Linked DNA regions of Notamacropus eugenii. The protein of the gene in region 2 purifies or fractionates together with the protein of the main gene of each other region. This does not show direct contact. Links are inferred from orthologs where the notes say so. Each region holds a gene or a part of one and is shown on either strand. Other genes may lie near its edges.

What was found.
Region 1: the proteins of SOX2 (region 2) and BAG2 purify together in Homo sapiens (affinity purification with mass spectrometry; 3 studies listed by BioGRID and IntAct, with this or other methods). This does not show direct contact. The link is inferred for Notamacropus eugenii from reciprocal best matches to the Homo sapiens genes SOX2 and BAG2.
Region 3: the proteins of SOX2 (region 2) and XRCC1 purify together in Homo sapiens (affinity purification with mass spectrometry; 3 studies listed by BioGRID and IntAct, with this or other methods). This does not show direct contact. The link is inferred for Notamacropus eugenii from reciprocal best matches to the Homo sapiens genes SOX2 and XRCC1.
Region 4: the proteins of SOX2 (region 2) and DNAJA2 purify together in Homo sapiens (affinity purification with mass spectrometry; 3 studies listed by BioGRID and IntAct, with this or other methods). This does not show direct contact. The link is inferred for Notamacropus eugenii from reciprocal best matches to the Homo sapiens genes SOX2 and DNAJA2.

The regions. Positions count from the first base shown.
Region 1 is NC_092873.1:125,380,280-125,387,916, reverse strand, and holds the start of BAG2 (BAG family molecular chaperone regulator 2), read right to left. Parts: upstream 3,023-7,637; 5' UTR 2,979-3,022; coding exon 2,775-2,978; intron 2,559-2,774; coding exon 2,425-2,558; intron 1-2,424. UniProt on the Homo sapiens protein: Co-chaperone for HSP70 and HSC70 chaperone proteins. Acts as a nucleotide-exchange factor (NEF) promoting the release of ADP from the HSP70 and HSC70 proteins thereby triggering client/substrate protein release.
Region 2 is NC_092877.1:342,641,516-342,648,638, reverse strand, and holds SOX2 (transcription factor SOX-2), read left to right. Parts: upstream 1-4,116; 5' UTR 4,117-4,693; coding exon 4,694-5,743; 3' UTR 5,744-6,968; downstream 6,969-7,123. UniProt on the Homo sapiens protein: Transcription factor that forms a trimeric complex with OCT4 on DNA and controls the expression of a number of genes involved in embryonic development such as YES1, FGF4, UTF1 and ZFP206. Binds to the proximal enhancer region of NANOG.
Region 3 is NC_092876.1:25,377,877-25,384,773, forward strand, and holds the start of XRCC1 (DNA repair protein XRCC1), read left to right. Parts: upstream 1-3,878; 5' UTR 3,879-4,057; coding exon 4,058-4,108; intron 4,109-4,165; exon of another isoform or gene 4,166-4,255; intron 4,256-6,897. UniProt on the Homo sapiens protein: Scaffold protein involved in DNA single-strand break repair by mediating the assembly of DNA break repair protein complexes. Negatively regulates ADP-ribosyltransferase activity of PARP1 during base-excision repair in order to prevent excessive PARP1 activity.
Region 4 is NC_092872.1:461,624,308-461,631,771, forward strand, and holds the start of DNAJA2 (dnaJ homolog subfamily A member 2), read right to left. Parts: upstream 3,004-7,464; 5' UTR 2,816-3,003; coding exon 2,738-2,815; intron 904-2,737; coding exon 844-903; intron 1-843. UniProt on the Homo sapiens protein: Co-chaperone of Hsc70. Stimulates ATP hydrolysis and the folding of unfolded proteins mediated by HSPA1A/B (in vitro).

The DNA.
Region 1 (7,637 bases), on a different chromosome or scaffold from region 2:
TTTTGTAGAACCTCCAGTAGAAAGCTGTTAACTAAGCCTATATTTATTGTGTTCATTCTCATGAATTTTCAATTCCTCCTGGGTTTTATCCTGAGCAAAGATGGAAGAAAGGTAAAGACCTAGAAATAGTAGTTTCTGCCATTGCCATTAAAATTGAGAATAGAAAATCGGTTCCTCTCCCTTTCTGGCTCATTGGTACTTAGGTTAACAATGCCACAAGCCTCAGTTTCTAGGAGAACATATTCATTAATCCTATACATCTTTTTATAAATGAAGGATTTATCCCTTGCTACATAGTAGGCAGCTCAATGGCACAACGGATGGTGTTGGACTTTGGAGTCAGGAAGGGGATAAACATTTATGTAGCACCTACTGCATGTCAGGCACAGTGCTAAGTACCCCAGCAAGGTAAGCGCTATTAATATTTTCATTTTACAGCATAAAACTGAAGCCACTATAGAGATTTGCCCAGGGCTACAAAAGTGGATAGTGTCAGCACAAATTTGAAGTCAGGTCTTCCTGATTCCAGGCCCAGCATTTCTATCTGCTGTGCGGCTCAGCTGCAAGAAGGAAGACCTAGTTTCAAATCCTGCCTCAGATATTAGTTATATGACCCTGGCCAAGTCAGCCTCACTCTGCCTCAGTTTCCACATCTGTAAAGGGAATAATAATAGCACCTACTTTACAGGATAATTGTGAGAATCAAATAACATAATGTATGCAAAGTGTTTTGCAAACCTTGCACACTGCTATGCAAATGTTACTGTTGCTTTAAAAATAGCTTACATTTTTAGTACTTTAAGATCTGCACAGCATTTTATGTATACTTTATCTTGTTTTATAAATAAAAAGTAAATATATATTAAAGGAATTTTAGTTTAGCTATAACTGCTTATGATTAAAGTTTATGCCATAAAAGCTTAAAAAAAATCACCAAGGACATTATGATAAATATACATTATTTTCTTATAGAAAACACTGTTACTAGCTAACAGTTTAAAATTTTTGTACAAATCTATTCCTAAGTGTTAGAGAAGGCTACAGTCACTAGAAAAGTAAACAGACACACAAACATCAAACCCTTGTGAATAACTCTACAACAGCAGGCCAGAATGGCAGATTATGAATAAAAGGCCCAAATAGTACAAAGTGGTGCTACGCTAGCATGAGAAAAGTAGCATTAATCAGTTTATTCTCTCCACACATTGTTAACTAGTCCCAGTGGAAGCTACTCAACATGCTTTTTTGGATAACCTTCTCTTTGGAGTGAATAAACCTTTAGTGACCAATCTACAGGGTGTTACAAAAATTTAGAGCAGTGCTAAGCTCTTAAAAAGATTACAACTGCCCTAAAACTTTTGGGACACCCTGTATCAGTGACTATGTATAAACTCCACTAAAGAAGAAAGAGCAGCAACCAAGTGAATATAAAAGACATTAAAAGAGCACTTCAAAATCAGATGTTGAAACCTATAATCAGTCAGATGATGTCACAGTAGATTTTGCCATCTGTTTTTTTTTCTAAATACCACATTCAGATGTCCAAAAGGATCATGGGAATGGGACTGTAAAAGTGGCCAAACCACCCTAAAGAATGCTCAAACAATGAAGTTACCCAGATTTTATCTGGCATAAGCATTTCACCAAGACAGTAGCATACAAGATACAGGGTTGGCCTTGGAGCCCGGAAAATCTGGGTTTAAATCCACAGACAAAAACCATTTTATCTCTCAGTGCCCCTCTTGAGTACCTGAGTTGTATGTCTTCATGAGGGAATGGGGCAGCAGGGGTAACATTTCCACACCAAGAGATCCCACTGTTGCAAACCTCAGTTTCGGTTCCTGACCAATCTGATTTCACGAATGTGGCGAAATAGTCTTAGTGAGCTGCATAAAGCAATGAGGCTGGGGGATTTCTGGGAGTCGGTCAGCAAGCTTGGACTTATCAGGCGCTTATTTCGTGCCAGGCACTGTGCTAAGCGCCGAGGATACACAGAATGGCAAAAAGACAAAAATCTACATGGTTCCTGCCCTAAAGGAACACACGTTCTAACGGCGGGGGCAACACGCACCAAGACTGTACGGGTCGCAAGTGCTTCAGGGGCAGGACTCGAACCCAAGTCTTGCTGCCCTGGAAGTCGGCTCTCTATTCACTACGCCACACCGCCCCATTATGGAGATGGACCCCCAAAGGGCAAAACAGTGCCAGAGATGCTCCACTTGGTTCTCCTCCGGCCCCCACCCCGTCTCTCTCTCCTTCCCCAAAGTGTGCCCTCTCTCTAAAGGTGCCAGCGTCCCCCAAACCGCCCCCTGCCACGGGGGCAGGCTGGCTCCAGCTCCGGCCCGGGGGGCTCCGGGGCGGCCAGCGGGCAGCGCGGGCACGGGACGGGAGCCGTGGGCACGCGGGCCCCCCCGGCCGGCTCACCTGAGCTCCAGCTGGTCCAGGCTCTCGAGCAGGCGGCTGGAGCGGTCGGCCATGGAGGAGGAGCGGCAGAACCTGCCCTCGTTGGCTTTCGCGTTGATCTTCGCCTGAGCCATGGGGCAGCTCGGCAGCGGTGGCTGCAGGAAGGAGGAGGAAGGGATTACGCGACTGCGGTGGTGCCACCTCCCTGCTGTCCTCCTCCCTCCCTCCTGCCCCCCCGGGCAGCCGCGCGCTAGTGGCAGCTCCGGACACCTCCTCCCTCTGACGCCTACAATGAGAGGCCGCGGGCAACATGGCCAAAGAAGGACACGGAGCCCGGCCGGCCGGTGCCCCCCGCCCCCTCCGCCACTCACCTCCATACCCCAGCCGGCCCCGCGGGGTTCTGCGTGGGGGAGGAGGCAGCGTGCCTGCCCCTGGGAAGGGCACGGGTGGGAGGCCCAGGGGCCAGCCAAGGAGGTGGGAGGACGTGACAGCTGCCAAGCTGGGATGGTCTCCTTCCAGTGGGCATGGCAGTGGGCTGAATTCAGGGGGCTGTTCTCCTCGCGTGAAAACTCCATGGAAATCACCTTCGGGGCTGTCTGGGGTTCAAGGGGAAATGTAACAGGGCTGTTGGAAAGACCAAAGATTTAAATAAGCCACTCAGAGCTGTGGCATGAACTTAAGCACCTCGGACAGTCAGTTCCCCATGCTTCCAGAGTCTTCACGAAACTAACTCCCCAAAGGGAGGAGATCTGAGACCCATCGGAAGTTTAAAGAGTTAAATAATCGTATAGGACCCTTAAGTGCTCCTAAATCAATAACAAGGAAAAGATAATTTCATCTTATATTATCTGACTTAAGGCTGGGAAAAAGGCGTGAAGCGATGGCAGTAAAAGGCTAGAAATATTTCCAAAACAATACTGTATTGTCTATTTTCGTTAGCTGCCCCATCCCCTTCTCTCCACTCCCCTCTCCCCAATACTCGGAACCTCCACTTCTCACCTGTGCTTCCCGGCTTCCTTTAGAACTCAGCTCCCATCCCGCCTACCCCAGAAGGCCTTTCTCAGGCTCCACTGTCCATCTGGAATGAAAAAAGTTGTATGTGGTCACCCCGGCTAGAATGTGAGCTCCTTGCTAGCAGAGGGCGTGTTGGTGGTTTTCTTTGCATCCCCAACGTTTAGCACAGTGACCAGAACAAGTTGTTCAGTCATGTCTGACTCTTTGTGAACCCATTTGGGGTTTTCTAGCAAAGATACTTGAGTGGTTTGCCATGTCCTTCTCCAGTTCATTTTATTTTATTTTTTTATTAATTAATTTGTTCTCAGTTTTCTACAATCCCTTCCATATATATCTTAGCTTTTTCCCCCTCCCTTTTCCACCTTCCCCCTCCTTTCTCTCTCCAGGAGACAATCTTATATAGGTTCTACACATACATTCTTATTAAATACATTTTCACCTTAGTCATGTTGCATGGAAGAATTAAAATGAATTCTTCAGCTCATTTTAAAGATAAGAAACCGAGGCAAAAAGGATCAAGTGACTTACGTAGGGTCATGCAACTAGTTAGTGTCGGAGGCCTTATTGGAACTCAGAAACGGGAGTCTACCTGACTCCTCTATGTCACAAACTCTCTCCGATGAGCCACCTAACTGCCCTGACTAGAATGGTGTAAAGCCCTTAATAAAGGCTACTGACTTGATTACAACTTACCTGCCACTGGAATTTTTCTGTTCTCTAATTCCCAGAGGTGAACACTGGTGCCAGAATATCAGGCCTGGGGCCCTGAGAAGGGTGGGAGTGAAAAGAGGGGGGAAATATGAAAAACTCTCTAAGGTTCCCTTAATCCACTGGTTTTGTAAACTTCAGTATTGAGGATCTGCTTCAGTTCCATTCATTCTCACTGAAGTAATTTTAATTACTAATTCTTCCTAATAAGAAAAATAATACAAATAAGTGTTGTAGCTAACATAGTTTAATGGAGATGCCTTAGGACTTGTCTCGAATATCCAACAATGTGTCATGTTATCTCAACAAAATTCAGATAGCCTATGGACTAGCCATAGAAGTTTCTCTGCTTAATGAAACAAAAGCTTCGCATATTGGCCCTTTCCTTTTTTTCATTATTTATTATGAACTTAACCTCAAATATCAACAGAATCAATTAAAACGTAGTTTTATGACCATTAATGCCAAAAAAAAAAAAATACCGTTCAACAAACAAAATGTCCACACCAGTTTCTCCCTGTGGCCCACCTGGTTTTGTTAAGAATACATGTATGCCCTTTGGAGGCAGTTTGGTGATACAGTGGATAGAGCTCTGGCCTGGAGTCAGAACAGATCTGAATGGAAATCCAACTTCAGATAATTACTAACTATATGACCTTGAGCAAGTCACTTAATCACTGTTTGCCTCAGTTTTCTCTACTGTAAAATGGGGATAATAATAGTACCTGCTTTGAAGGATTGTTGTGAAGATCAAATGAGATATTTGTTAAAGTACTTAGCACGATACTTGAGACACTATAGGCACCATGTAAATGCCAATTCCTTTTCCTTCTTATTGTCCCTTTTATCTATTCTTTATTATTTCTCTTTATACATTTTTTGGTTATATATAATCTAAGTATATACTGTTCTTAACTTACACATTATTTCATCTTTCTATATTTGTATTCTTCAGACTTACTCATTTTAATTGCATGATGCATTATATTACATTGACATAGCAATCTATTAAATCATTTCCCCTTTGACATTTAGATTTTTGTCAATTTTCACAATTATAAATAATGCTGCAATAGATGTATTTGAACTAACAGCTCACTTTTCTTTTTGATAATATTCTGTTTTCCCAATAAAGAGAATATTAAATCAGAATGTGATTTTTTTAATAACTCCCATGGCATAATGCTGGATTACTTCTCAAGAGGCTGAAGTATCAACATTTGAAATTCCATCAGTAACGTATGAATATACTTCTCTACACAGTTGAACCAGTCTTGTATTGTTACTTTGTCAGTTTGAGATTGGGATGGTACCTCAAAATTGTTGGAGTGTATTTTTTTATTAGTGAGATTAAACATTAAGTGATTACTTACCATTTGTATTTCCTCTTAAAAATCATCTTATTCCCATTGATTATTCACTAGATATTGAATTTTAACAGTTTTATAAATTTATAAAATTTAGGTATTGTTTTTAATCTGTTATGTTGACCATGATCCTTTTCCTCAATCTATTATTTTTTTATTCTTATATTTTAATATACATTTTACTTATGCCTTTTGTCATTACATTAGCCATTTCTCATACTCCTTCTATATTGAACCTTCCCTTGTACAAAAGAAAAATAATCAAAAACCTCTTGTAGAGACCTCTTTCTGGCATCGCATATCCTATTCTTTCCTAGTGGTCCCCTATTTCTCTACAGTGAGGACGTATAATTCATTATATCTTCTCTGGTACCTTCAGTGGCTTTTCTCTTGCTCAAAGTTCAGCTTCTTTTTAATTATTGGTTGATTTGCATTTTTGTAGGTTCTGCATATTTTGTTCTGTTTCAGTTCTTACAAGTTTTCCCATTTTTCTCTGAATTCTTCAGTCATCATTTCTTACTGTACAATAATTTTCCATTGTACTCATATGACTTAGAATTGTTGTTATCTTAGCTACTTAACAGTCTAAGAAGACCCATTTTGTTTCTAGTTCTTGGCTACCAAAGAATTTTGCTATGAATATTTTGTTACATATTGAAATTTCATTTCTGCCTTTCGATTCTGTGAGAGTATATTCCCAAAAGTGTGATTGTTGGGCCAAAGAGTGTGAAAGGTTTAGTTGTTTTGCTGTAAAAAAAAAAAACTTTATTGATAACTTTTCTTTTTGTATCACCTTCATCTCCTAATATCCCTCCCTTTTTTTCACCCAGAGAACCATTCTTTTTAACAAAGAATAAAAAAAAGTTCAACATAATTAACCAATAGATCACTTTAGTCCAACTGTATGTGATACTCCATAACCTTAACCTTCAATTTTTGTAAAGAAGGGTGTGTGTACGTGTGTGTGCATTTTCATATCTCTTCTTTTGTACCATTTGATCATTATAATCACATAACATTCAGTTTTAATTTTTTCTTGTTGTGTTCTGTTTACTTTGTTGTAGTCATATGTAGTTAGCAGCTATCTATTCCAGTCCAACTAGGAATGCCCTGGTAAATATTTAACAACTGGCTACCGGAAGAAAAAATATATGGAGATCACATTTTAAAGTTTAATCTGCATTATTAACAATTTCTCCATCACTTTCATAAATCTTGACAATCAACAAAATAATAAATCAAGCTCTGATTTGAAGAATTTGCAGATTTCTGAGGTGAAAACGCTCCCACTAAAAATTTAACAATTGGCTTTGAAGAGCCAACTGGATCCAGCACATGCTTGAATCCAACTCATATTCAAAAGGAATCTCCACTAAAATATACCTGACAAGTGATCATCCACCCTCTAATTGAAGACCTCCAAGGAGGGGGAACTGTCCACCTCTTGAGGCAGAGCAGATAAGCTCTGCTGTTAGGAACTTTTTTTTTTTTTGACATCAAGGAAAAATTTGTCTCTGAAATTTCCTGCCTATTGCTCCCGTTTTGGCTACCAGGGGCTAAAGAGAACCAATCCAATCCCTCTCCCACATGACAGCTCTTCAAATATTTGAAAAAAATCTCCCCCAATCCTCATATCTTTGATTCTTTACCACACTGGTGCCTCCTTCTAGATACTCTTTAGCTTAAAACAGTCCTTCTTAAATGGTGGTGCAGAACTAAACTCAATACTCCAGGTGATGGAGGGCATGTATATGTGTATATGTAGATATACTATTGAGTTTTTTAAAATATTTATAACTTTTTTTCAGTTTTACAGAAACTTAGCAAATACTAAACTCATGTATATACTTGGTTTTATTTTTGGAATCTCTATTTTGTTTTGTTGATTTTCCAAAAGCAAAGAAGAGTTATGTTCTAGATCAATGCAAGGAGTATTACACCAATAAAATCATGGACTTTAGGAAATACTGGAGAAAACACACACACAACGTATATATGTGTGTATGTATACACACACACACATATCTTCATCCTTTAGGTTATAAGCTCATCGATGGCAGGGATTGTCTTTTTATTGTGTCCCCAACACATCACAATATCTGGTACATCATGGGTACTTAGTAAATGCTTACTGGATTGGATATA
Region 2 (7,123 bases):
TGGTCGTCAAACTCTGCTAATTAGCAATGCTGAGAAATTCCAGTTAACAAGGACATTCTCCTAGACTGCGGGTTCCCTGCCGCTCGCCTTCATTTCCATAAGAAGATTAAGAGTGGAGGGGAGCGCTCTCAGATGCAGATGCAGAAACGAAGCGTCTCTTAACGAGCATCGTAATAGTAAGATGCTAGGCTAGTTCTCACCTAATTACCGCAAGTTAAACCTCTATTTGCCGCTAGGGAGAAAAAAATAGGTCTGCGGTTCTTTCGACGAACAAAATTGTTTGATAGCTTTAGATGTGTTACTGCTGGGATGGGGGGGGGGGGGGGGGGGGAGGGTGCAGGAGAAGGGAGTGGACACGCAGAAATAAATAAACTTAAATTAAAAAGTTAGATTTCCACTTACCACAGGAAGTTGTTTCTTTGGGGGATTCTAAAGGGCTTTTACCTAGGGCCGATCCCAGAACTGAAGGAAGACAAAATATTCCAGGAGCTTCTTCCCCGCCCTCTCCTACACCCCAACCTTTTAAACTAATCTATCAATAAAAGTATGGAAGAGTTATTTCCCGTCCTTTGGGAGGAAGAGGGGGAGGGGGAAGGGAAGGAAAGAAGGAATATTTCTATCCTGTTTCCTACACGCATTTTTCCGTTTCCATAAATTATACCAAAGACAACATGAAAAAGAGTCCTGAACGAAGAGCCCTGTCTTAAGTCTCATTCTCTTCCTGAGGAGTGCGTGGAGGGTGGTTATTAGCGATGCAGCAGGCTAACAGGAAGGACTGTGGGACTGGGGCGCTTGCTCCAGCGTGTGGGGTTGGAGGTTAGGAGTATTTAGGGCTGAGTGATGGCCGTGAGTTTCAATGGTGTGGCCAGGGATTCGATTTCGTAAATATACATGTCGTCAGAAATCTACTGGGAAAAGGGGTTTCCGCGCCCTCAGTGGCTCCTGATTTTCCTGAGCACATTATTCTCACGCCTGAATGCCAGCGACAGTTAGTTGTACTGCGCGGATAAGTCAAACGCGCTTAATTAAAACAAAGCTGAAAATAAATGCAGCCAATGAGGACCCAATTGTGACGCATTTTCTCCCCCGCTCATTTATGTGATCAACGCAATTAGCTGAGGCCGAAGCCAGCCCCTTTCACCTCTTAAATGCATTATTATAGAGTTCAGGCATAAATGCATGCAATCTGGTTATCAGAGGTGGGGGTGGGAAGGAATCTTCCGGCTGTCTCAGTTGAGCGAGCCCCAACTCCCTATTGCCCATCCCGAGAAGACCGGACAAATGCACTCGGGTCTCCACGGGCACCAGTTATCAATTTCTAGCAATAAACCAACCCCCACCCATGGCTACCCCCACGGCAACCTACCTCCGGCCCAAACTTAATTAAGCTGCGAGATTAGAGGAGGGAGGGGAAGAAAGGACCCGGGGGTGGGGGAATGATGTGATCAAGCGCACACACCCAGAAGAAGAGGCGCCCCTAATTTTCACCCTCCCTAATTTTAGCCCAAGGATTAGACAGGCGTTAAGTAGTTGAGTAAATTGAATCAGACTCTTACACGCCTCTGAGGGACACACACCAATCTGTTGATAAAAATTACTTGTAATTAATTTTGCTTCTCACCACCCCACCCATCCCTCCTTCTTTAGGGAGAAGATGAAGATTGCCTAACGTTTTTTTCTTTTTAAAATGAAAAGCGCGATTCTTGGGGAAAACTCGCGCCAGTAGGGGGCGCACCAATCCCGTCCCTGAAACCCGTGGCGCAGAAAAGCCTGTGGCAGCCACCTCGGGCAGGGCTCCAGCTCCAGCTCCTGGCTCCTGCAGCCCCTCCCTGCGGCCCCGACCGCCCCCCCCCCCACCTCACCCCCACCTCCGCCTCCAACCTCCCTAATCATTCTTCCCATCCTCCTTGGCCTGGTCTCTGGGCGCGTTGGGGCACCTCTCATTCCATTGTAAAGCAGACAGTCCCGGGGGTCCCACATCCCCCTCCCCCTTTCAAAGGAGCCCAGGCTTTATAACTAAGACCCAAACTTTAGAAAATAAGTTGGAAGTATTGCCCCCACCCACTTTCTTTGAAGAGATAGGGGGGCTAAATTTAGAGGAATTCTGAAAGTGCCCCCCACACACATCGATTTCATGACTTACGCCTCCCCCCCCTCCCCACAATTTTCCAAGTTAGTTTACGAGAGAAGAGTACAGAGCGGGGCGGGAGGGGGTGGGGGGGTGTAATGATGGAAGGGGAGCCGCGACTTCTCTTCCTCCACAGTAATTCGGACTTATGCTGAGTGAATTAATGCAATAAAGGGAACGTGGCCGGGGAGCTAGCGATCGGTACATTTGCCTACCAGTGAAGGGCGGAGGACCGAGGGGAGTAGGGTAGGGTGTTAAAGGAGAAAAAAATAAATAACCCTGATGGTTTAAGTCCTTTATAAGCCACAAATAGCATGAGGTTGCTGCTTCTTTTTTTCTTTTGTAGTCAAGTGCATTTTAGCCACAAAGATCGCAACAAGAGAGTGGAAGGAAACTTAGACCGGGCTTTGTTTGCCTGCGTGTAGTGACAACAACAGAAACAAAACTACCTATTTGTAACGGACGTGCTCCCATTTCTCTACGCATTGAGCTCCTACCTATTGAAATCTTTACATCGGGACAATGGGAGAGCGGCTAAAATTACCCTCCTGGGTCCGCGGCGAGCAAGATTCCCGAGACCCTCCAGTCCAGTCCCCCTCCCACCTACCCCCTCCCTTCTCGTCCTGTCTCTTCTCCACTCCTTCCTCCCTTCCCCCCTTCCAGGTTTTTTGTCCAGAGCCTGCTCCCTCCCCTCTCCTGACCCTGAATGGGTCTGGCAGACCTCACCCCACCCTGACCTCTCGGCCCCGGGGAGCCCAGTCCCAAGCGCACTGCTGAGCCAAAAGAAGGTGGGGAGTGTAGTGCAGACTTTGGGGGGAGTGAGCGACGGGGACAAAAGGAAAGGGTGATAAAGTTTGGCTTGTGGGAACTGTGTTGGAGGCGCTTAAAAACCATAGCACGTTAGAACTTGGGAGTTGTGTTCTGTCTGATCTCAGGTCCGAGTCTGAACTGACGGCACGTTCATCCAGCTCCTTTCTTCCTCTTCTTGTTTCCTTCTTTCTGTCTCCCTCTTCTTTCCCTCCTCCTTCGTTTATTAGAGTTATGCTTCTCTCATTCCTTATTTGAAAGGGACACTGAAATTCTTCTGATAGGCTTAAGAGAAAGGAGGGAAGAGGAGGAGAATGAGGAATATAGGGCTAGGGTTTGTGGCTTTTTTTTTTTTTGCTTTTCCTCACGGTTTGAATGGATTAAGGATTGGGAGGGTGGGGGTGGGGCGGGGCCATAGCCAGGGGAAGGGGGGTTAGGGCGAAGTAGGAGCAGGAGGAGAATGAATTAGATATGAGATACCTACAATTTCTTGATAACAAAGCCTATATAGGAAGAAAAGTGGTGTCCCGGCAACGAGGGATGGATGCATTGGCCTGAAACTTGACAGGAATGAGCTTACAAATATTTTCTAAACATGGAAGGAAAGTGAGAGCGAAGATGGTCTCGGGACTACTACTTTTCCAACTTCTTTGCAGAAACCACAGTGAGATGAAAAATACCAGAGAGGAAAGCAAGCTAAAGGGACAAATTGGACCTTCGTGTGGGGGTGGGGATGATGGAGGAGGAGAACCTGTAGCCCGGTGGGCCTGGCAGCTAATTCCGTAGTTCTAGGTAAAGTGCCTAGGGGAGGGGAAAGAACAAGGGTGGGCACACCAAATCTCTATGACCCTTTTTGGAAATACTAATGGGAGACTTAGATTAAGAGGCCCCTGCACCCCATCACTACTCAATCTCCTCCTTCGTCCAACCCTCAACTCCCCAAAATCAATACCAAGTTTGAGGGGGGAAAAGCCCAAGGCGGCCACAGTGCTGTTCACCCTCTTCCTCCGAAAAGGCGTGTGGTGTGACCTGTTGCAGCGAGAGGGATACAAAGGTTTCTTAGTGGCTGGCTGGCTGGCGGTGGGACCCGCCTCCCCCTCCCCCAGGGCCGCCGAAGGCTCCGCGGCGCGGAAAGCCCCGCCCCCTTTCATGCAAAACCAGCCGGAGAGGCTTGTCCTGTGTGGAGGAGCCCGAGCGCGCTGATTGGTCCGGGAAAACCCATTTATTCCCTGACAGCCCCCATCACATGGATGGTTGTCTATTAACTTGTTCAAAAAAGTCTCAGGAGTTGTCAAGGCGGAGAGGAGAGTGTTTGCAAAAGGGGGGAAAGTAGTTTGCTGCCTCTTTAAGACTCGGAGGAGAGAGAACAAGCGAGAAGAGAAGGAGAGCGAGAAAGAAAGAGAGGAAGAGAGAGAGGGGGAGAGAGAAAGAAGTTTTGAGCCCCGGGCTCAAAGGAGCGTTTCACCCAAATAATAATAACAATAATAGCGGCGGCGGCGGCAGCAGAAATCGAAGCCAGTGGAGGAGTTTTTCTTCCTGATCTTGCTTCCAGTTCGTCTTCTTGCTCTGCGTTTTTAATCGCTCCTCATCTTATTTTTCTGGAGACGCGCGCTCCCGACCCCCCCACCCTTCTCCTCCCCTCCTCCCCTCCCCCCGCCCTCGGGCCCCCCGAAAAGTCTCGCCGGCCAGTCCGGGACGCCCGAGGCCGGCCCGGGGAGGTCGGGGGCCCGCGGAGCGCGCGATCCAGGAAGCAGCGCGATGTACAACATGCTGGAGACCGACCTCAAGCCTCCCGGCCCGCAGCAAACTTCGGGGGGCGGCGGTGGCGGTGGCGGCGGCGGTGGCGGCGGCGGCGGCCCTAACTCCACGTCGGCGGGCGGCACGAACCAGAAGAACAGCCCGGATCGCGTAAAGCGGCCCATGAACGCCTTCATGGTGTGGTCCCGCGGGCAGCGGCGCAAGATGGCCCAGGAGAACCCCAAGATGCACAACTCGGAGATCAGCAAGCGGCTGGGCGCCGAGTGGAAGCTGCTGTCCGAGGCCGAGAAGCGGCCCTTCATCGACGAGGCCAAGCGGCTGCGCGCCTTGCACATGAAGGAGCACCCGGACTACAAGTACCGGCCGCGCCGGAAAACCAAGACGCTGCTCAAGAAGGACAAATACACGCTGCCCGGCGGCCTGCTGGCTCCCGGCGGCAACAGCATGGGCGGCGGCGTCGGCGTCGGGGCCGGCGGCCTGGGTGGCGGCGTCAACCAGCGCATGGACAGCTACGCGCACATGAACGGCTGGAGCAACGGCGGCTACGGCATGATGCAGGAGCAGCTGGGCTACCCTCAGCACCCGGGGCTCAACGCGCACAACGCGGCGGCCGCAGCAGCTGCAGCGGCCGCGGCCGCCCAGATGCAACCCATGCACCGCTACGACGTGAGCGCCTTGCAGTACAACTCCATGACGAGCTCGCAGACTTACATGAACGGCTCGCCCACCTACAGCAGCATGGCGTACTCGCAGCAGGCCGCCCCCGGCGGCGGCGCTGGCGGAGGCGGTGGCGGCGCCATGGCCCTGGGCTCCATGGGCTCCGTGGTCAAGTCAGAGGCCAGCTCCAGCCCCCCCGTGGTCACCTCGTCGTCGCACTCCAGGGCGCCCTGCCAGGCCGGGGACCTGCGGGACATGATCAGCATGTACCTGCCCGGCGCCGAGGTGCCCGAGCCCTCGGCGCCCAGCAGACTTCACATGTCCCAGCACTACCAGGGCGCGCCGGTGCCGGGCACGGCCATCAACGGTACGCTGCCCCTGTCGCACATGTAAGCCCCGGAGCCCGGCAGGGCAGGAACATTTTTTTTAAGGAAAAGGAAAAAAAAGACACAAAGAGACTGTATGGCATAGAGAAGGGGGCCCACCGCACCACGGGATGGGAGGGGGGGGAAATTCCCCACCATCTACAGCAATGACAACTGCGAAGAGGAACTTAGATACACACACGCACACACACACACACACACACACACACACACACACACACAACACAACAAAACAAAAACCCAACAGCCACGGCAACACCAAGAAGAAAACTTTTATTGAGAGATTCCGGACTTCTTTTTGGGGGGGACTATTTTTGTACAGAGAACTTGGGGGAGGGGGAGACAAGGGGGGCCTTGTATAGATCTCTGAAGGGAAGAAAACTACACAAAACTTTTTAAAAAGTTCTAGCGTGGACGGTAGGAGCTTTGCAGAAAGTTTGCAAAAGTCTTTACCCATAATATTTAGAGCTAGTCTCCAGGTGACGACGAAAAAAATGTTTTAATATTTGCAAGCAACTTTTGTACAGTATTTATCGATATAAACATGGCAATCAAAATGTCCATTGTTTCTAATCTGAAAATTTGCCAATATTTTTCAAGAGTCTTCTTGCAGAATTTCCGATCACTGCAACTGGGATTTGGGGCAGTTGCAAACAAGAGAGGAGGGAATTAATTTCAATTTGGACATTTTAATTGTTTAGAAATTGTACAAAAGGAGAAAAAATTTAGGATACTTGCAAAAAACCATTTCCGTGCTTTTCTATAAAAGGGCAAACGTTTAGGTTGTACTCATTTTTTTTACTTATTGTTAAGAAGGAAAAAAAAGCAAAAGCTGGCCCCTCCACACAGGCTGCCATGGCTGATAATTTATAATAGCATTTATTTCCAAACTTTTCATTCTGTTTCAATTTGAACACAAATTAAAAAAAAAACAAAAACAAAAAACCCAGCAAGAGCGACCTGAAATTACTGTGTTTGAAATATTTTCTTATGGTTTGTAATATTTCTGTAAATTTATTGTGATATTTACGGTTTTTTTTTCCTCCCTCATTTTTGGTAGTTGTATTTTAAAAACTCGGCTGACTCTGTGTTTCTTTAAACCAGTCTGCCGAGAGTCCATGTACATATATTTGAACTAATCCCGTCCTTATAACAGGTACATTTTCAACTTAAGTTTTTATTCCATTATGCACAGTTTGAGATAATAAATTTTTGAAATATGGACACTGAAATTCCATTTGCGTCTTGGATTTCTTTGGAGAAGACAATGGCGTTGCTTGGAAGTACTTGGGGGTACTAAAATGCCAGGCTCCTTAGAGTGGTCTTAGCAAAAAGAAAAATAACAAAATAGACTCGAGGTGTCCACTGCCGGGCACCAGGTCTAAAA
Region 3 (6,897 bases), on a different chromosome or scaffold from region 2:
TGGCAGGGGGAAGGGCCAGCCCAATCCCTGCCCCTCCCCCCAGTCTGGTCCCAGTTACCAAGATAACCTTAGAGGATCCTGGGACCCATACTCCTTCCCTCCTCCCTGTCCTTGGTCCATCTTCTACCATACAGGATGGCAAAGCTTGGGGGGAAGAGGCTAGTGTTGGGAGGAGTCAAAGTCCCAGGGTCCCTCCTTCTCTTTTGCCCAGTTTTCTTAATGACTCACACCCTACCCTGCCCAGCTTCTCCAACCAGCTTTCCCTTGCCCAGCTTGTCCCTACACGTTGATGTGGGGGCCAGGATGTCTGGGTCCTTCCACCCCCAAGACCTGCTCACACTCCTGTCTTTATGTGCAGAGTTCTTTACCTGCTGCCCCCAGACTTGACCCCTCCCCGTGATGGGGCAGGGTACAAGTCCCTGGGGGAGGGTGGGGACAGGGGGAGCCCCTAGTCACTTCATAGAATCCTCCATTGTCAGAGCTGGAAGGGACCTTGTAAGATGGAATGGCAGAGAACCTTAGAACCTGGAATGTCAGAGCTGGGAGGACCCTTAAAGGTATAACCTCCTCATGCTCTAGATGGAGAAACTGAGATTAATCTCAGTAGATTCCTTCCTGTCTCAAGGCCTCAGTTTTTCCATTTGTTGGAGAGATGGAGTCTAAAATCCCTACCAGCTCAAAATCTACAATCTCATAATTAAGATGGCAACCCAAACTGGGGAATCCTATGTTCTGATGATTTCCCATTCACATACTGCCATTGCCCTGAGCAAATCACATTCTCTCCTTCCTCTGTACCTGTAAAATGGGATCATTGATGCTTACCTCATGGAGCTGTTTCAAAAGAGCTTGTAAGCTTGGAGAGACTGAAGTGACTGGGAGTTCTTTGTCTCCCATAGCACACACCCCCTCCCCCAGGTGTCTGAAAACAGGTGGGGAAAGGGAGGTTGTAACATGCTGGGGAAAGGGGCCACTCACACATGGAGGAACACCTGAGAGCTGAAAGGCTGGTGAAAACCAGAGAATTTGCCATCAATGGATGGGAATTTTGTGCCCTGCCTCAGTTTTCATCATATGGCCAGAGCCAAGAGCAGCAGCAGATTTTCAAGTGATTCATCAGGCCAAGGAACAGGGGCATGACTCAAGTTTTGTTCCACAGAGGGCATCTTGCTCTTGAAAAAGTGGCAGAAGTTGGATGTTAGGTCACTGTAAACCTTGGACCAAAACTCTGGATTTACACAGCCTGGGTTTGAGCTTGGGGGTGGGGGTGGGGAGTTGGTTCATGCTGTCCACCTCTACTCCCTCCAGGTTCATTCTGGGAAATCTCAGAATATACTTCCTGGCTAGGGTTCCACAGATGTGTATAAAAGGGTCTCTCAAATCCTTTACAAGCACTCAAGGTAGCAATACATTTACAGGAGATGCAAGACAGCCTTCATTTCATTCAGTCTGTCAAACAACCAACTATATGCCAGGCATCAAACTAAGTACTGAGGATACAAAAAGAGGGAAAAGACAGTCCCTACCCTCAAGGAGGGCAGGAGACATACAGTCTAATTGGGGGGGGGTCAACCTAAAAAGGAACATACAGAGCAAATGATATACAGATAAATAGTAAAGAATCAACAGAGAGAAGGCACTGGGAGTAAGAGGGGTTCTATAGAAGGTGGGATTTTGGTTGGGACTTCAAGCCTGAGAGGTCAGTTGGAGTGGAAAGGGGCTCAGTATCAGTGGATTGAAGGGTACACGTGGAGGGGTAAGATGTAAGAGGACTGGAAAGGTAGGAAGGGCCAGGTTATGAAGGGCTTTCAACCGCAAACAATGCATTTTGTATCTTATCCTAGAGGTAATAGGGAACCACTTGAGCAGGGGAGGGACATTACTGAATCTGTGATTTAAGAAAATCATGTTAGTGGCTGAAGGGAGGACAGGCTAGAGCAGGGAGAGATTCTAAGCAGACCACCTTCCACCCCAGCAGTAATAGTCCAAAAGTGAGGTAATGAAGGTCTACACCGCTGTGACAGCGTAAGATGAAAGGAGGTATATTTCACCCCCACAGATAATGCAGAATTCAAAAATTAATAGCCAACATAAATATAGTGCCAGGCACTTTACCAATATTATCTCATTTGATCCTCACAACAACCCTGGGGGGCAAGTGCTATTATTAGCTCCATTTCACACATGTGAAAACTGAGGCAGTCAGAGCTGAAGTGATTTGCCCAGGGTCTGAGGTTGGATTTGAACTTAGGTCTTCCAGACTCAGCGCTCTAAGCACCGTGGAGTCTCTTTATTCTAAGGTCTGAGTCGTCTCCAGAACGGGAACCATTTCCAGGCAGGGGAGTCGGGGCAATGCCCGGAAATTCTGATGACTGTTTTCCTCGGCAGAGATACCTAGGCCTCGCGCAAGAGGAAAACACACCTGAGGCGAGCCCCGCCCCCAGCCCCACCTACTTAACCCACGCTACCCTGATAGCTGGGTCACCTGTGGCTGTTCCCCGGACTCCCGCGAGCCCTGTCCATGGTGCCCTTCTTTTCTCTACAGCTTATTCCTCGTCTTTTGACGGCTCAGACACCCAAGGACCCCCTCATCTTCCCAAACTTGAGCTCACACAAGGCAGCTCCCAAGACCGGTGTTCCCCAGGACCACCTCCACCCCGATGGTAGCTTTCAGGCTGGATTCTGGAATCAGCCCCCGTCCTAGTTATGGTTGAGGTCGGGTGTAAAAAGAATCTCCGAGAAAGACTTTTTTTTAGCTTAAAAAAAAAAAAGCAAATAGCAAAGATTCAAAACAGTTAAAGGAAGCGCTCGGTGGGGTCTGGGGTGCCCGCAGGAGGTGGGGGAGGGGTTTGCACCCGAGGGGCGAGTTCGATCCGCGTTATTGACATCTGCTCCCTCATTTAAGGGCTCAAGCCGCGACGTGCAGCCTTGGTCCATTTCCAGGGTGAACAGTTGGCCCCAGAGGGGGTCATTGCGCGCCCCCTCCTCCAGGAAGCTCCTCCTGATCTGCCCCCCAGAATTACTTTGTATGTATTGATCTATGTACAAGCTGCACCCCCATCCACAAAACCTCCCCAAGGGTAGAGTTCAGGGGGCGGTGAATGGTAAATTAATAGCTGGGCCTGTAAATAGTCTGTCGTCAGAGGGCACCCTTCACAAAACCAGGTCTAGCTCTGGGTGGGGAGGTACTGGGTTCTAGTTATGCCCTTTGCTGTGTGACCTCAGGTAAGTCGCTGCCCCTCTCTGGGCTCGAATCCGATGACGTAGGCTCAGCTTCAGATGCCTGGGCTGGATCTGAGGCTGCCTGGGTTTAATGGGGCTCGGAACGGGTCTGCATGGCCCCGCCCACTCCACACCTGCAAGGGCTCCTCCAAAACTAAACTGGGCTGAGCTGGGGTGCAGCAAAGCACTGGGATCCTTCGACTTGGGCAGCGAGGAGGAGGCGCCCTCGGACCACGCCACCCAATGGGAAAAGAGAACAGGGATGCAGTGACCAATAAGAATGGGCTCCAAGCCCAGGAGGCGGGAAATGAGGGAGATGGGCGGTAAGCTCCTGGGGGCGGGTCGGCGAGAGGAAGGGCTAATTAGGTCATACAAAAGGGGTGGAGCCAGGGGAAGGCGGCCATAGAGAGACTGGGCTAGAGCGGGGTGTCGGAGGGGGCGGGGCCGGGGAGAGGAGAGGCAAGAGGAGCGGATAGAGAGGCCAGGAACAAAGGCTGGCTATTGGAGGGACAGCCCAAGGAAAGGTGGAATTGGGGCGTCAGTCCGGTCATGGGGCGGGCTTAGAGCAAGGACGGGTCATAGAGAGCGAAGCCTAGAGTGGCCACGGGCGGGGGGAGGTGGAGGGGGGACGGAACCGGCCGGGGAAACAGTGGAGCAGGGCCAGTGCGCCTGCGCGGCTGCGGGGAGCGCGCTCCCGACTTTGAACAGGCCCGGGAGTCCGCGCGCCTGCGCACTAGTGCTGCCCTGAAAGAGCGGCCTCTTCCTTCCCAGGCTGCGGCCTGGTCCAGAAGCCTTGGATTCTGAAGTCTCATCGTTCCTGGCCCCCAGACCCACCATGCCCGAGATCCGCCTCCGCCACGTTGTGTCGTGCAGCAGCCAGGATCCGGTGAGAGAATCGGAGGAGGGGGAGGAGGCATAGGTCTCTGCGGACTTCCGGTTACGGAGGCCCGGCGGGAGGGACTTCCGGTTATCTAGGGGACTCCAGGAGTGTCTGTAGGGGCCACCTGGGATTGTCTAGCGAAGGCAGTTGGAGGTGTCTGGAGGAAGCGCCTTGGGTGTTTGTGGGGGGGAGGGGCGTCTAGAGGAAATACCTGAAGGCGTCTATGAGGGTGTCCATAGGAGGCACCTGGGGGTGTCTGTGGGGGTGTCTATAGGAGGCACCTGGGGGTGTCTGTGGGGGTGTCCAGAGGAGCCCCTGGGGGTGTCTAGGGTCGTATCCATAGGAGGCACTTGGGAATGTCTGGGGGGGTATCTCTAGGAGGCACCTGGGGGTGTCTAGAGGAGTATCCATAGGAGGCACTTGGGAATGTCTGTGGGGGTATCTCTAGGAGGCACCTGGAGGTGTCTAGAGGAGTATCCATAGGAGGCACCTGGAGGTGTCTAGAGGAGTCCCTGGGGGTGTCTAGAGGAGTATCCATAGGAGGCACCTGGGGGTGTCTAGAGGAGCCCCTGGGGGTGTCTAGAGGAGTATCCATGGGAGGCACTTGGGAATGTCTGTGGGGATATCTATAGGAGGCACCTGGAGGTGTCTAGAAGAAGCACCTCAGATATCTATGGGGATGTCTAGAGGAAGCCCCTGGAGGCATTTATGAGGGTGTCTGTAGGAGCCCCTGGGGGTGTTTATGGGGGGCACCTCAGATGTCTATGGGGTCAGCCTGGGAATGTCAGTGGGAAGCCCCTAGGCTTTCTATGGGATGGCTTTGGGGTCTACCTGGGGGTGTATACATGACATTTATCATGTCTGTGAGGGTTCCAGGAATGTCTGTAGGGGACTTTGAGGGTCTAATGGGGCACTTAAGTCCTTGCTATGGACAGAGGATATGGTACATCAATAGAATCTTCAGGAATGACTTTATTACGGGAGGCTCTAGGGGTGTCCATAGGGGATACTGAGGACGTCAGGAATGTCTCACCAAAGGGGTTAGTAGCAGACATCTCTGAATATCCATGGGAGGTTCAAGGAGGCCTGGGGGCCTCTGCCGGTGTCTGTGGGCACCCTCTCCCCTCTAGAAGGTGATGATCACAAAGAGCCAGCTTTCCAGGACAGACCAGAGGTTTGCTAGGTGCAAACCAGAGTCTACCTAGATTTGGGTGAAGCCTCCACTGTCTTTGCCATGTTGTGGACAAGGTGGAGAGTAGTGTCCTCACTCACCTGGAGCAGCTTCAGAAGGGGCTGAGTGGTCACCCCCAGTGGGTGGTCTTGAAGGCACTGTGGCACCCTGGGGGAGCCCCAGAATAGGTACTCTTTCAATATTGCATTAATGACTTTGGTCAAGAATTGGCTGGCATTGTTGATTGTCAGGGCAGATGATGCAGGGCTAGGAGAGACGGTTAACAACAGCCATCAGGAGGGACTCAGAGAGTTCCTGGGGGCAAGACTGTGGGCTGAATCTAAGGGTGACATTGTCCAGGGGTCTGTCAGGTCCTGCCCATTTCTTCCATGCCAGGCAGGGATGCAAATGCAAAGAATGATCCATCCCTCCTCTTGAGCAGCTTATGCTGTAGTGGACATGTAGTTTGTCTTTACAGAATAAATATAAATAGGGAGACACTTGAAGCCATGTGTGGGTCCCAGAGGACCTAAGCTGGGCGGCAGCTTTTCTGAACACTCTGATAGAAAAGTTCCTAGCATCCTTGGAAGCCAAGAAAGCAAATGTGATGATCTTGGCCCAGTGCACAGGAGGACTGGGCAGGGCTAGGGGTGGGGGTGGGGGGCAGTGTAGGGGGTCCTGCTGCCCTCTGGCCTGATATCATTGTCTTCAGGATGGTGGTTAGTTCTTGGCACCCCAGCCAAGGAAGGACATAGATGAGTGTCTACTAGGAGGCAGCCAGGAGGCTGAATTGGAGGAGAGATGACCTGTCCAGGGGTCTTTGAAAGCTATCTCTAGACCCGTTTAACCCCTGGGGCAGAATAGGAGTTGCCAGGATGGGCATTTCCACTTCCTGACCGCTGAAGGTAGTAAGAGGACCGGCTGACCCAGAGGGTGGGGAGCTTCTGAAGGGAAGCTGGATGGATGACCACAGCTACTTGTTGGCCCCATGAGGCCAGGACATTCCTGCTCAGGCAGCTCCTGCTACCCCTTCAGAACTTGGGGATTCTATGATGGTGGGCTGGGGCAGTGGCATCTCTTGGGGATTATCAGAGGGAGCAGGGGAGTCGTGGAATATCTTGGTGATGTGTCTGACACTGAGGGGCCCTGCCGTGAGTGTTTCATGGGGTCTGGATGTTTGGGGATAGGGGAGCAGAGGGTGGCTCTGGAGGTATCTGTAAGGGATACCTTGGAGGGCGAGCTGAGGTTATCTGTAAGAGCCATCATAGGATTCCATTAGGAGATATCTGAGGGAGAATGCTGAAACTCTCTGGGAGGGTGGGGTCCAAGATTGTTCCTGGAGGATTTCTGAGCTGGCTCTAGGGACCCCTGAGACTCTGACCAGGATACATCTAGGGACATCTGTCAGGGCTGCTTAGTGCAGACATCTGTTAATTGGGAGGGGGCTTTTGGTTGTTTATAGGGGACACAAAGGTATTTGTATAGTCCGGGGGAACTTTATGAGTTATCTGTAGGGACAAATAGAAATAGTTATCACTTGGAGCTTCTTAGGTTTTGAGACTATCTCGAGGTGCCATCTTGGGGCGTCCCAAGGGAACATCTAGGACTCTCTAGGGGAACTCCC
Region 4 (7,464 bases), on a different chromosome or scaffold from region 2:
AAGGATTAATGCTAAAAATTTTTAAATTTTGTTTTGTATTTTCCCACTTCAGCAAAATGACTCCATTATATTCTGCTTTGGCTAACATTAAAGTCTGTCTAACCACACACTGACAGAGGCGGTATAGCAATCAATCTCTAATTAAAAACCTGCTGCAGTGTATCCAAATATTGTTAATCAAAATTTATAACACGCAGAAGTGGAAATAATCTAAGTCATTTGATCCAAGCCTGTTATCTTACATGAGGAAACTAAGGCCCAGAAAACTTAAGTGACTCACTAGAGGTAAGACATCCAAGTCTTTCCATTACACTATGATATCTCTTTCTATACTTCAGTTTGTGTTGCTTTTCATTTTAGGAACTGTCTTTCCCTATCCACTGAATTACTTAAGGAAAACTTCATAATTCCTTTCCTTCAGTAATCACCTTCACCACAACTCAGACCTAATAGGTCCCTTTACTTGCAATTCTTATGTATTTATGCATTATTTTATATTTGCTATTATTCTGCATCTCCCCAAATAGACTGTAAATGCCCTTAATGACAGGGACATTTACTTTATGATGACGATGAAGGGAAACCCCATGAGTCATTTATGTACACAGTAGCCTACAAACAGATTTAGAGTCTAAAGAAATAGAAGCTGCAGTTTTTCAGATTAATTATTTCTAGTCTTATCTCCTTCAGCTCTTTTAAAAATGTTTTTACTATACAACTTACATTATTCTTTAAGCCAACGAGACCTGACTTTGTTAAAATAAGAAAATATTTATTTTCAAAAGGAATACAACTATCTAAGTTTGAAAGCTAAACACAAAATCTCAAATATCTAAAACTTACTTTGTCCCCTGCATTTGGATTCTTATCAGGATGGTATTCCTTGGCCAACTTTCTATAAGCCTTAGAGAAAGGATAACAAAAAAATTACTCACAAAAACAGTTAAAACTATTTTAACTTGCACTTTTTTTGAGGAAGAATTTTAAGTAAAAAAATTCACTAAGCTTATATCCTAAATACGTACCTTTTTTCCGCCAGGATACTTATTTAAATTAACTCCAGTTTTAATATCATTTGTTTATGTAACCATAACATTCCCCAGTTACAATCACGGTTGAAGAGTTTTTAAAAATTGAGATACAAATAGAGAGAAGAAAATATAATGGAACATTGTTTCAGTCTCTCACTTACTCCTGGGTGCTTTATTGAAAAGAAACAAGAGGAAAAAGTTTCTAGTAATCTACATAAGTACTAATAGTTAATGAATATTCAGAACAGATCGTAAATAAGCTCTAGTAGATGCCCCTCCGCATCCCCCATACCAGGAACAGGGCAAAATGAAACTACTATAGGCTTACAACTCATTTTCATACAGGAATGCTCTGGGTAATTAAATCATGTCGTGATCTTTGGCTTGGTAGATTTGGAAATACATGTTAAACTATATGGTTAATGACTAAAGCCTTCACGCAGAGAAATGAATTATATAATAGTAAATCACTTCCGGTAAGGTGACAGGAAGCCCATTTTCAGAGATTTTACTCCCAGCAGTCCCTCAGCCTCATCGCCTAGGGCAATTCCATTTCAGCCAGCCCACAAATTTTGATGCAACATCTGAAGGATGCGGTGAGGATTAATTAAATATCTAAAGTGCTCTGAAATTCTCAGATGATAGACTGCACTACTACAAGTAACGAGGTCTTCCATTTTTTTTTTTTTTTTTTGGCGAGGGCTTCAAGTGTTTACTTCAGACGAAGTGCCAGTTTCATCCCAGCAGAACCGACAATTGGAATGACCAGGCTTCACAACAATGCACCCCAACGTGCCCATGTGCTACACCCCAGTTTAATCACCCATGCCGATGAGGCACTGCATGTTACGGAGCAGCAACATCGCCCACGGAAGCAGTTCTCGCCTCATTCCCAGCTGCTCCAATGTCAGCAGGAGCCCGGGGGCCAGGTGATGCCAGCAGCCTTTCCCCCTTAGTCCGCAGCCCTTGGGACCACGAGCAGAGAGGGCCCGGCGGAGGAGAAGCTTTTAGCTGATGACACAGGGGAAACATCCTTTCCCAACCAGCGTCCTCCCTCGTCCCAGGCACACACCCCTTTTATCGGTGGCTGCTTTAGTAAGGAGGGGGTAAAGGCCGGGCCGAGGATGCACCCAGGTGCGTGGGTTCAACCTGTTCTTCCAGGGGTGGTGACCTCGGCACCGGGATGCGAGGGAGGTGGGGCGGCTCTCGGGGCGGCCACAGGGCGGAGGTTTCAGTGCCCGGGCCTCGGGGGTGTTGCTCGTTTAGGGGAAGGTACTGCCTGAAAAACCGAGCGGGAGGCCCCAGGACAGCTCCCCGGGGAGCCCCGGCCTCCATTTCCGCCCGGCATCGCTGCTCCCAAGGTCAGTGGGATGAGCAGGATCCGGGGGGGCGGGGGTGGGGGGAGGCACCGGTGCGGCGGCGGCGGCAGGAAGCCGGAGGAGGAAGGGAGCCGCCTGGAGGCCGAAGCCGGGGCGCCGCATGTGGGCCCCAGCCAGGCCAGCTCCGCTTTCCCCGGCAGGCCCCGGCGCGGTCTCAAGCTCCGGACGCCGTACAGCCCCTCGAGCCGCCGGGCCGCTCTCCCCGCCAGGGCTGCCCAGCCCTAAACCTGCCCCGCGCCTGGGCCCGAGCCCAGGTCCTGGCCCCGCGCCGCCCCGCTCGCCCGCCGGCCGGCCGGCCCGCGCCGCACCGCCCGCGCATGCCGCTACCTTCTTCAGCTCGTTCTCGCTGGCGCCTGGAGGGACCCCGAGGATGTCGTAGAGCTTCGTATCAGCCACGTTCGCCATCGCAGGGCAGAGGGCGGGAGACGGCAGAAAGCGGCGGCGAACCCGGGCCCTGGAGAGGCGGCAGCGGCGACGGCTGAGGAGAAGGAGAAGCGAGAGGAGGTAGAGGAGGGAAGAGGAGGAGCTGAACTCCGACCTCACGTATAACGTCGGGAGCCAGCCCCGCCCCCTCGGTGCCGGACGCGGCGGCGCAGTCGAGCCCCTCCCCTCCAGGAGGTGGTTGGGACCGGCGGTTGGAGGGGGCAGCTGCGGGGGGCGGGGAGGGGACACCGGCTCGTGTTGGGGCGCTGGCTCCTCTGGACTAGAAGTCAAAAGTATCCGGCAGGTTTCTGGGTTTTGTTTGTTTCTTGGTGGTGCGAGGAAAATACTGGGAAAAACTTGAGAATGATTTTAGAGCTCCCCTCAAACTTGGTTATCCTCTCGGTCACGCGTCCTGGCCTGATCTCTCGACTTACAGATAGGGAAACTGAGGCTCAGAGAAGGGCAAGGTTTGACCCCCAACAGAATCCTTCCGTGTTTTTTAACGGCTGAAAGGTGTCTTAGGGATGCCCCTCAGCTTCACCGTCTTTCAGACCTGTGATTTATGCGTGGCAGCTCTCCCACTACTCGTGGTCCCAGAGAGTTCGTTGCCATGGTCCCACAGTTTGTGTGAAAGGCGGGACTTGAACCTCGGACTTCCGGATTGCCCCAGTCCATGCCCCCCTTGTGCTGCCCGACCTCCTGCTGTCATGGACTGCTTCTGTTTATTCGCTGCCCCGTCTCCACCCTGATGACTGTTGGGCCCACCTCCTGCCTTACGGGAAGCCCCTGTTTCATTATCTAGTTGGGGTTACCCTAGTCCTTTGTCACCCCGAACCCTTTGTTTCCCCCTCCCCCCCTTAAGCTTTACCTACCGCCTCCCGTTCTTCTGCCCTCCTTCATCTCCCTCTGCCTCTGGATGGCTTGTTCCCAGGACCTTCGGGCAAAACGAGCTTCCGTCTCTTTCTCGCTACCTTTCAGATTGGGTTTTTTTTCCTATTGGACTTAGTTTTATTCAGTTTTTGAAAGACACCCCCGCTCCCCCCATGGTGACCCCGTTTTACTTGCATTAAGAAAGAGGATGAGGAAATTGACTTTCTCAACTCTTCAAGTGTTGGTTTCCTGACTCTGAAACATGTTCCTAACTTTAGGGTGGTTAGAGGAATGTAGCTTTTCCCTTTGTTTTCGTTGTAAGCTGCTTGGTTATTTGTGAATAACATGCCAATAATCTTTGTTTTAGGAAATTGAAGCCAGCTTTGTCTCCCTTGGAATTACAAGACACTCATTCCACTTCAGTTAGATCCATGCTGCCTGTTTTCTACCACGTAGGAAAGTCAGAGCCCTTGGTGCTGTAACCACTCAACCTTTTCCACTCTCTACCTTTTGTCTTGAGGTGCCGCAAGCTCTGAAGCTCCAGATTTAGCCGGTGCCATTAAAAAGAAAGCCCTTTATCTCACTTCGCTTCTGGCATTGTAAAACGCTGAGTCACAGTGCAGCTGAGGACTGCAAGTGATTGAAAGTTCAAGTTCAGAGTCATTTCAAATTTCTGCCAGGTTTATTTTGTTGCTTCATTTCTTTATGTATTTATTTAGGGGATGGGAATGGGAAGGAAAAGGAAGGATACTGCAGCATTTGCAAAATGTTTGCTTATATAAGTTTAGTCCTGAAGCATTTGGTGTTGAAATATTTAGTTGCTTAAAGGAATTCTATATACCTGCTCCCAATTAGTCCTGAACTGGAAATAATGCTTTTTTCATTTCAGCAACAATTCTGAGATAAGGACAAGGAAACGGAGGCGTTTATCTAGTATCACACAGCTAATCTCTGGAGCTAGATTTGAACTCAGGTTCTCCTGACTAGGTCCAGGGGTTTTATCCACTGTGATGCCTAGCTGTGTGTGTTCTCTCTTCTCTTTTTTTTCCCTTTGCCTGCCTACCTACCTACCTATCTAATCCTATGATAAAGCCACTTATTTACGCAAGAGCTAGTTAATTAGCTAATATTTTTTAAGTACTATGCTAATATCTAGCTGTTAATGTTTATCTTCTAAGTCTGTATTTATCTTAACCCTGCTTGCCTCAGTTACTTATCTGTAAAATGAGGAGAAGGAAATGGCACACCATTCCAGCATCTGCCAAGAAAACCCCAAGCTAGTATTTTTTAAATACTATGCTAGTATGTAGCTATTTACATTTATCAAATGAAATAATTTATGTGTAGAGCTTTGCAAATCTTAAAGCAATATATAGTTATTTATATAACTTTTATATTTTTATATATTCATAAATTTGTATATGTATTTATATATTTATATATATATAAGTTGTTTCAATTAGGATTTTTAAAATGCAGTATAGAAGAGGTCCTAATTTTGTCTGCTGTATGGCAACACTATTGATCCAAGGCTGTGTTTTCTACCCTGAATGGGAAAGACAGAAGAATATACTTCTTTTCTCTCTTGGCCACACTGAACTGGCATTGCAGCAGAAGTTACTTTTGTCAATGCCAATTCAGAGAAAGAATGTGAAAATAGTAGGTAATGATAATGATTGAGTTTCTTTATGTTGCAGTTGCTAAATTTGACCAAAGATTAAACTGTAAACTAACTTCTTATAGTCATTAAGTTCTAAAAAACTCTTTTATTTCTAATAGAAGATGTCATATCTGTTTCCCTTTTCAGGGCAATGAATAGTGCATGCTTCATCAACTCTTATTAAAGTGTTAGATTTATGATCCTAACCAATTTTCTAAATACAAATGAAGAAGCTTTTTTGTTGTACCAATACTCAACTTGAAGAGTATGTTAGGTAGCTGTTTGAGAATGAATTTTTTTCCTGTAAAATATTATTAATCTTAATAAAACCTGTCTGAAAGTGCTGGCCACAGAAACTAAGACACTAAAGTGTGAAGGGTTGTAATATATTGGTTCTGATTCACTCATTGAAAGAATACCCATAAAATCATAGATTCTTAGAATCTTGAAGTAAGAAGGAAAATATCAGTCTGTAAATTTAAGATCAAGTCTATGAAAAATTTATGTCAGCCTTCTTGTTTGCAAAGGTGATATGACAAAGTTGAAAATGCCTTAGGAAGAGTTAATTGATCTTTCAACTTTTAAGAGATCACATTGTTTTTCCCTATATCATTCTCCAAGTCTGAATGTTGTTTATCTTTAGTAGTTTGATTTTAAAATAACTTGATTCATTCTAAAGAAAAGTTCACATTTCCTTTCAAGGAGTCCGTCACTGAGCCTGTTATGTGCCAGGAGGGCACCTACGTGGCACAGTGGATAGAAGACACGTTTCTGAGTTCAAATCTGACCTCAGGCACCTACTAGGTGTTTGACCCTGGGCAGGTCACTTAACCCTGTTTGGAGAAGGAAATGGCAAACCATTCCAGTGTCTTTGCCAAGAAAACCCCAAATGGGGTCACAAAGAGTTGAATGCAACTGAAAACGACTGAACAACAATATGTACTGTGGGTATACAAAGAGTCAAAAGAGAGTCCCTGTCCTCAAGCTTATAGTCTAAATAGGGAATCAACATGCAAACAAATATAAAGCAAGCTATAGAGAAGACTAATAGGAAATAATTAAGAGAGAGGGAAGGCACTTGAATTAAGAAAGGTTGGGAAAGGCTTCTTATTATAAGAAGACGGAGAGGTTAGTTGTCAGAGTGGAGGAGGGAGAGCATTTCAGGCATGGGGAACAGTCAGAGAATATGCCTGGTGCTGAGAGATGGAGTGTCCAGTTTGTGGAACAGCCAGGAAGTCAAAGTATATACCTGGGGCAGGCATGGGTCAGGGAGTAAGGTATTAGAAGATAATAAAGATAGGAGGGGTCCGATAGGAAGGTCTTTGAATACCAAACAGCCTTTCCAACTAGAAGGAGTTAACTTTGAAGAATCCTGATGGTAGAATTATTTATAATCAACCATTAACACCCAATATGTACTAGGCACTGTGCTGGGCTCTGAGGATTTGTTTCTTCAGTTATTTCAGTCATGTTCCACTCTGCATGATTCTGTTGGGGGTTTTTTCAGCAAAGATACTGGAGTGGCTTGTCATTTCCTTTTTCAGTTCGTTTTACAGTTGAGGAAATGGAGGAAAACAGGGTCAAGCAACTTGACCAGGGTCACACAGCTAGTAAATGTCTAAGGTAAGATTTGAACTCAGTTTTCCTGACTGTAAGCTCAGCACTCTACCTGTTCTCCCAATTAGCTGCCCTTAGGCTCTGAGGATAGATACAAAGACCAAAATGGACAGACCCTATTTTCAAGGCACTGATAGCCTATCAGGAGAGACATGCACTTAAGGTAGCATACACAAAATACATATAAAGTAAGTTTTTTAGGAGAGGGCACTTGACATGGTGATGGAAGGGCGAAGGGAGTGGGGAAGAAGGGGATCAAAAAAAGTTTCATATAGGTATTGCTTGAACCGAGTCTTTAAGGAGGTAAAGGTGAGGAGGGACTGCATTCCAGGTGTGGGGGCTATGCAGCACAAACACAGACACTAGAAATAGAATATTATGGGAGGAACATCAAGAAGGCCAGTTTGACTGGATTGTAAAGTGGGAAAGTGGAAGTCATAGAGTTGGAAACGTATATTGGGGCCAGGTTGTAAATTGCTTTAAA